2 linked regions of the Callithrix jacchus genome follow. The protein of the gene in region 1 interacts with the protein of each later gene in a pairwise test. Links are inferred from orthologs where the notes say so. Each region holds a gene or a part of one and is shown in the gene's direction. Other genes may lie near its edges.

Region 1 (4,310 bases):
TACTAGAAAGGGCCCTGCTCACGTTATTACAAGACTGTCTTCCTGCCCCTAAAGCAGCTAGTGTAATGGAGTGAGTAAACCCGAGGGCCAGATTGACCCAGGGCATCTCAACCTCAACACTATTGATACTGTGGGTCTGAGAATTCTTTGCCATGGGGATTGTCCTTTGCCCTATAGGATGTTCAGCAGCATCCCTGGTGTCTAGCTACCAGTAGTGCCCCCAAGTTGTGACAACCAGAGTGTTCCTAGACATTGTCAAATGTCCCCTGGGGAGAAAAGCAGCTCCTAGTTGGGCACCACTGAGCTTGTCTATGGGGACAGAGGTTGGAAGAGTGGTGGTATCAGGGGCGTGGAGTCAAGTAACTCACTGGGAAAAGGTGCAAGGAGCTTTATGGAATGCTGGGAATGTTCTGGGTGGTGTTTACACAGGTCACGCCTGGGTCGAAAGACATGAAGCTGGACCTGATCTATACATTTTACTGTATGAAAGATATACCTAAAGAATGCACCTCAGTGCCAGACAGAACCAGACCTGGATTTCAGTCCTGAATCTGCCCTTTAGGTTCATTTTCCTCATGTGCAAAATGTAACAGTAGGAACCTGCTCCCAAGGTGCTGTGAAGGTTAAATATGATGAGTGTTAAGTCCCTTCACCCCAGTCCTGCCTAGGGTGAGGGCTCTGAGAATATTTGCTGTGACGATGGATAGGGCCACTTCCTCTTTCCATGCCTGAGTTTTCCCAGCTGTGTCTGATGGTCCCTAAGATCCCTGAGGGTCTCTGTCACTGTGACTTTTTCTGATGCTTTGGGGCCATTGCTTTCTTGGCCTAAATACTTTCAAGGCCGTTGATTCTATCAGACCAAGTAAAGTTTGTCCTCAGAGTTTCTGGGACCCCTGGAGTAGATGAAGTACTAAGAGGGATCCAGGACATCCCAGATGGGAATTGTAGTATAGAAAAAAGGAAGGTCGAGGGCCACGGTGACCTGGCAAAGCACAGAGCCACTTTGCAGCCACCACTTCCCTTGCAGAGGCTCCTGGCAGGCCTTTGCATCTTAGGTCCCGTTCTGATACTGGGTGGGGCTCAGAGCCTGTAGGGTGAACTCCTTAAGTGGAGGTGAAACAGAATTCGCTTGTCAAAAGGGCAGTCTCAGGCAGAATGCTGTCCCCTCTGAATCATTCCTTTTGTTAAGGATTAAAAAAAAAGCCACCCCCAAAAGGCACAACCCACCCTGGAGAGAGCAGAGGTAACTGGGCTTGTGGGAAAAAGAAGTGCAGTTGGCACCAAGTCAGAGGGTGGGGAAGGGAGGAGAGAAGATATCCAGCCCCTGTGGAGGTGTATAAAAGGTGTCCACTCTGGGGAAGAGCCACAGTCCTCGGCCCAGGCCAAGCAAGCTTCTGTCTGCACCTGCTCTCAATCTTGTTCTCACCATGAGCCTCCGCCTGCAGAGCTCCTCCGCCAGCTATGGAGGCGGTTTCGGGGGTGGCTCTTGCCAGCTGGGAGGAGGCCGTGGTGTCTCTACCTGCTCAACTCGGTTTGTCTCTGGGGGATCTGTCGGGGGCTATGGGGGCGGCATAAGCTGTGGCTTTGGTGGAGGGGCTGGTAGTGCCTTTGGAGGTGGCTATGGAGGTGGTCTTGGAGGCAGCTTTGGTGGGGGTTTTGCTGGTGGCTTTGCTGACTTTTGTGCTGGCGATGGCGGCCTCCTCACTGGCAATGAGAAGATAACCATGCAGAACCTCAACGACCGCCTGGCTTCCTACCTGGAGAAGGTGCGCGCTCTGGAGGCGGCCAACACTGACCTGGAGGTAAAGATCCGTGACTGGCACCTGAAGCAGAGCCCATCTAGCCCGGAGCGGGACTATAGCACCTACTACAAGACCATTGAAGAGCTCCGGGAAAAGGTGAGACCTTGGAAGCTGAGGAGGGCACCCCCATGCAGGGCAGAGCCTCCAAGGCCAAGGAGGTTCCACAGTGTAGCAGGGGACCAGGTGTTGGTGAAATTCACAGCCTTCTTGCAGGGTGAAAAGCCTCATCTTTTACTACCAAGAGTCTCTACTTTTGATGGGCTTTCTCATGCCACAGCTCCCCAGATGCATTTTCTCTCATTATTCATTTTTCTTGCTGTTATTACTCATGCCATTTTTTTTTTGCTGCTTTCCAGACAGTTACATTATTTGTGACTCGATCTCTATAATCCCAACCCACTGAGCTATTTGGAAACATGACAGGTTTAAAAGCCACTAAGAATGAGTGAAATCAACAGAGAAAGTGAAATCAACATGTTCATTCATTGCCCTGGGAATAACTGTTTACTTTGTAGGGGACCCATGCAAACTGATATTCTTAACTGGTGATGGCTAGGTCGGGGAGAGAGAGGCAGAGGCTTAGGCAGTACTTACCTGCATGCCCTCTGTTGAACCCTGCCTGTTATGCTGTGATACCAGCCTGCTGGAGTAGAAATCTACCAGCCTGGGCTGAGTCCCGGCCATGTGGAATAGGCTTTCAGTGCTTTGGAATATAAATGTTTAGACAAGAAACTCAAATGGATGGGAATATTTGTCAGATTTCCCCTCCACTCAGCTGGGAGGTCAGCTCCTGCAACGTGATTGGGAGATATGCAGCACCAAGCTGAGTCCCTCCTGACTTTCAGGGGAGGGCTCTTAAGACAGTGGCCCGGGGAGGGTGCTAGTCTGAGGCTGCCGAGACATGACGAACCAAAGATGTTCTCAGCAGGTCGTTCCTCAGAAACCCACTCCCTGCGTCTTTCCCAGGGTGCTCAGACATGGAATGTTCAAGCAATAGGAGCAATTGGAGGGAACGCAGCTCCACCCTTCACTTTACGGAAGAGCAATAGAGGCCCAGAGGGAAATGCCTTGTCCCAGCTCAAGTTAGAGACAGAGCCCCCTGGGAACCGGTCCTGCCCATGTTTTCCCAGCCACCTCCTCAAGCACATGGAACCCCTAGAGCAAGCTTGTCCAGCCTGGGCTGCATGTGGCCCAGAATGGCTTTGATTGAGGTCCGACACAAATCTGTAAGCTTTCTGAAAACATTATGAGTCTTACAATTTTTTTAAATTAAAAAAAATTTTTTTTTGCCCATCAACTATCATTACTTTTAGTGTATTTTATGTGTGGCCCAAGACAATTCTTCTTCCTCCAGTGTGGCCCAGGGAAGCCAACACACTGGACACACACGCCCTAGAGGTTACCTTCTTTTGCATTTTGTAGATCCTGTCTGCCACCATTGAAAACAACCGGGTCATCCTGGAGATTGACAACGCCAGGCTGGCTGCGGATGACTTCAGGCTCAAGTGAGTTTTTTCCCCTCTCTCTCCTTTCCCAACAGTTTCTTAGTTTAGACAAATGCTCACCTGGCCAATGACACTGGAGCATCCCAGAAGTGAAGGTCAAGGAGAAGTATCAGAGTCCAGTGCAGGGGTAGGGGGACTGTTTCATATCATTTATGTCTTGCTTTTCCAAACACCATTTTCCTGTTTTACTATTTCAGGTATGAGAATGAGCTGGCCCTGCGCCAGAGTGTGGAGGCTGACATCAACGGCCTGCGCCGGGTGCTGGATGAACTCACCCTGTCTAAGACTGACCTGGAGATGCAGATTGAGAGCCTGAACGAGGAGCTGGCCTACATGAAGAAGAACCACGAGGAGGTGAGCGGGAACTGCAGGCTGCCCTGGGCGGAACCACCTCCAGTGAGAAGGAGGAACCCTCCCCTGCAGCCGGGCGCAGCCCTCCACTGTGGGACCTGGAAGCACTTTCCAGAACACTCTCCCAGGACTCAGAGCCAAGGAGAGGGAGGATGAGGAGCCTCACACATCTTCCTTTCCCATCCCCACAGGAGATGAAGGAATTTACCAACCAGGTGGTCGGCCAGGTCAATGTGGAGATGGACGCCACCCCAGGCATTGACCTGACCCGCGTGCTGGCAGAGATGAGGGAGCAGTATGAGGCCATGGCAGAGAAGAACCGCCGGGATGCCGAGGAATGGTTCCACACCAAGGTACCTGACCCTCTCACCCCACACGGCCAGGGGAGCTGAGCAGATACAGCCCCTTGGTTAGGCTGTTTGAGCTGAGCTTCCCCATCACCTTCTTCCTGCTTGCATTTCAGAGTGCAGAGCTGACCAAGGAGGTGTCTACCAACACTGCCATAATTCAGACCAGTAAGACAGAGATCACGGAGCTCAGGCGCACGCTCCAGGGCCTGGAGATTGAGCTACAGTCCCAGCTGAGCATGGTATGCCTGCCACCTCCTGCCCGGTGGCCACCACCTCTAGGTTTCCCCCGGGCCTGGCTCCCC
Region 2 (3,815 bases), on another chromosome or scaffold:
GAGTCTTTGGATTGACATCCTATAGTGGACATTTCTATCTTAGAACTTTGTTTTGAAGGGAAGAAGATTTAGGGATAGGTCTTTGCTTTGTAGTAAGTCTGTCATAATTTTTTTTAACCTTCATTTCACTGTTTTGTAAACATTTCTCTGTTTTGAGGATTTATTATGGATTTTTTTTTTTCTTGGTGAACTGTATAAAGTGGTAGTATTAGCTGGGTGTGGTGGCTCACACCTGTAATCTTAGCACTTCGGGATTCATAGATGGACAGACCACTTGAGGCCAGGGGATACAAGACCAGCCCGGCCAACATAGTAAAACCCCTCTCTACTAAAGATACAAAAATTAGCTGGGCATGGTGAGGCACAAGAGTCACTTGAACCCGGGAGGTAGAGGTTGCAGTGAGCCAAGATCGTACCACTGCAGTCCAGCCTGGGCAACAGAATATCTGTCTCAAAACAACAAAAAAAGTGGTAGTATTAACAAGTTTCATAGGCATCTAATATTTTCTTTTTATATTTATTATAAAGATAATATGAAAGGCATTAAAAATATTTAGAAGATAGAGGGAAAATACTTACTCAACTTCCTTAATGCATGAATAATATTTTGCTGTGGGGCAATTTCTATTTTGTTGTTGTCGTTTATGCACTCCTATTTATTTCTTAACACATTTACAAATCCTTGTATTAGACCACTGTGGCTCATATAGAGCATGCACATGTTTTTTCCTTTGTTAAAAATTAATATAATTATGATTTAACCACATGGAAGTTACTGTTCAATGTTAATATTATAATGATCCCAGAAGATACATTTAAAATATCATTATTTTCCCTTTAGTTATCCAGGCATTAGGTGAACATCTTAAATTAAGACAACAAGTTATTGCCACTGCTACAGTATATTTCAAGAGATTCTATGCCAGGTAGGATTATTTTTATTTTATTTATTTGAACTCTTATCTAATATGGATGAACCTTAGCACAGTGTAAATGAATCATGTGTCTGCCATAGAGTTATCTTGATTTTTTTTTCCCAGTGTGCTTTCTATATGAATGATAATTAACTTTGCTTTATCATATTTTAGGTATTCTCTGAAAAGTATAGATCCTGTATTAATGGCTCCTACATGTGTGTTTTTGGCATCCAAAGTAGAGGTATAAAATGATTTTTTGTTCTTCATCAAAGTGTAGTTAATGTATGTTGGTTAATCTGCCCCAGTTTTCACATTGCCTATATACAATTAATGGTAATTTATGCAAAATACTAAAATTGTACAAAGTCAAAGAAATATATACATATCCTTATATATTCACTTAACAGACATATACAGCACTTACTGTGTACCAACTGACTTAATCTTCGTAACAAACTGGAATACATAGTAGTAGTATTCCCATTTTATAAATGAGGAAACTGAGACAGAGAGAGATGAAGAACTTGCTTAAGATTATACAGCTGGTAAGTGTCAGAGCCCGTGTTTGAACCATGGGAGTCTCATTACCAATCCTGTGTTCTTAACTACTTTCCTTTGCTGCCTTTGAGACATTTCTTGTTTGGCACTAAGTATTATTCAGTAAGTACCCATAGCTTGCCTGCCATAACCTGAGAATGTCCCTCTTCCTTCTCACCCATGTCCTTATCTTCTCCTATCTTCCCTCCTATCATTCTGATGATTGGCTGCCTACCAAGCCACAAGGAAGGCAAGGATTAGGGGACGCTATAGCTGTATAGATTCTAACAAGTAAAAGTTTGGGTTGTGAGAGTAGAGAAATTAGGTAAGGGAGAGAAGATAGATAGGAACTTGCAGCAGAGACTGAATTTCTGTTCAGTTTCTTTTGCCTTTGTCACATTTTTGAAACAGCTCAGCTAAAATCCAGAAAATAAAAGCAGATATTGACTGTTTTCCATAAATAATTAATGTAGTTTTTGTGGTGTAAAATCTTTGCATTATATTTCTATTTTTGGATAATGTCTTAGAGTGGTAGTTTTATTCTTGGATATTGAATGTGATTTTTACCTAGTAAGTTTACATTCCTTTTGGTACCCACTTTGATTTAGTTTTGTTTTTGCCATGATTTAAGATTATCCATGACATCTTCCCCAATGTTTACCTAAATAATGACAGTTGCCTCTGTTAGAAATAATATTAAGACAAGCTTTCTAGAAGATTATGTTTTCTAATTGTGAGTGGTAGTTAAGGCAGAACCAGCTTTGTTTTTGTTAAGTTCTTTAATGGAAAAGAAAGTATTTATTAAAGGTTTTTATTATGGATTGATTTTTCTAATTCTAATAATTCTACTGTGTAATATTTGATTTTACTTAAGTATTACCGTGTAATAATTTTAAGTGTCTTTTTTTTTTTTTTTTTTTTTTTTTTTTTTTTTATTGGATTATAGGTTTTGGGGTACATGAGCAGAGCATGCAAGACAGTTGCGTAGGTACACACATGGCAGTGTGCTTTGCTTTTCTTCTCCCCTTCACCCACATTTGGCATTTCTCCCCAGGCTATCCCTCCCCACCTCCCCCTCCCACTGGCCCTCCCCTTTTCCCCCCAATAGACCCCAGTGTTTAGTACTCCCCTTTCTGTGTCCATGTGTTCTCATTTTTCATTACCCACCTATGAGTGAGAATATGCGGTGTTTCATTTTCTGTTCTTGTGTCAGTTTGCTGAGGATGATGTTTTCCAGATTCATCCATGTCCCTACAAACGACACGAACTCATCATTTCTGATTGCTGCATAATATTCCATGGTGTATATGTGCCACATTTTTCCAATCCAGTCTATTATCAATGGGCATTTGGGTTGATTCCAGGTCTTTGCTATTGTAAACAGTGCTGCAATGAACATTCGTGTACATGTGTCCTTATAGTAGAACGATTTATAGTCTTTTGGATATATACCCAGTAATGGGATTGCTGGGTCAAATGGAATTTCTATTTCTAAGGCCTTGAGGAATCGCCACACTGTCTTCCACAATGGTTGAACTAATTTACACTCCCACCAACAGTGTAAAAGTGTTCCTTTTTCTCCACATCCTCTCCAGCATCTGTTGTCTCCAGATTTTTTAATGATCGCCATTCTAACTGGCGTGAGATGGTATCTCAGTGTGGTTTTGATTTGCATCTCTCTGATGACCAGTGACGATGAGCATTTTTTCATATGATTGTTGGCCTCATATATGTCTTCTTTCGTAAAGTATCTGTTCATATCCTTTGCCCACTTTTGAATGGGCTTGTTTGTTTTTTTCCTGTAAATCTGCTTGAGTTGTTTGTAAATTCTGGATATCAGCCCTTTGTCAGATGGGTAGACTGCGAAAATTTTTTCCCATTCTGTTGGTTGCCGATCCACTCTAGTGACTGTTTCTTTTGCCGTGCAGAAGCTGTGGAGTTTGATTAGGTCCCATTTGTCTATTTTGGCTTTTGTTGCCAATGCTCTTGGTGTTTTGTTCATGAAGTCCTTGCCTACTCCTATGTCCTGGATAGTTTTGCCTAGATTTCCTTCTAGGGTTTTTATGGTGCCAGGTCTTATGTTTAAGTCTTTAATCCATCTGGAGTTAATTTTAGTGTAAGGTGTCAGGAAGGGGTCCAGTTTCTGCTTTCTGCACATGGCTAGCCAGTTTTCCCAACACCATTTGTTAAACAGGGAATCCTTGCCCCATTGCTTGTTTTTGTCAGGTTTATCAAAGATTGTATAGTTGTATGTATGTTGTGTTGCCTCCGGTGCCTCTGTTTTGTTCCATTGGTCTATATCTCTGTTTTGGTACCAGTACCATGCTGTTTTGATTACTGTAGCCTTGTAGTAGAGTTTGA

The links.
Region 2: the proteins of KRT13 (region 1) and CCNC interact in a two-hybrid assay, tested with the Homo sapiens proteins (2 studies listed by BioGRID and IntAct). The two-hybrid records come from large-scale screens. The link is inferred for Callithrix jacchus from reciprocal best matches to the Homo sapiens genes KRT13 and CCNC.

Annotation. Positions count from the first base shown.
Region 1 is NC_133506.1:91,751,417-91,755,726, forward strand, and holds the start of KRT13 (keratin, type I cytoskeletal 13), read left to right. Parts: upstream 1-1,365; 5' UTR 1,366-1,427; coding exon 1,428-1,898; intron 1,899-3,224; coding exon 3,225-3,307; intron 3,308-3,504; coding exon 3,505-3,661; intron 3,662-3,849; coding exon 3,850-4,011; intron 4,012-4,121; coding exon 4,122-4,247; intron 4,248-4,310.
Region 2 is NC_133505.1:105,600,917-105,604,731, reverse strand, and holds part of CCNC (cyclin-C), read left to right. Parts: intron 1-841; coding exon 842-926; intron 927-1,088; coding exon 1,089-1,158; intron 1,159-1,324; exon of another isoform or gene 1,325-1,408; coding exon of another isoform or gene 1,409-1,462; intron 1,463-3,815. UniProt on the Homo sapiens protein: Component of the Mediator complex, a coactivator involved in regulated gene transcription of nearly all RNA polymerase II-dependent genes.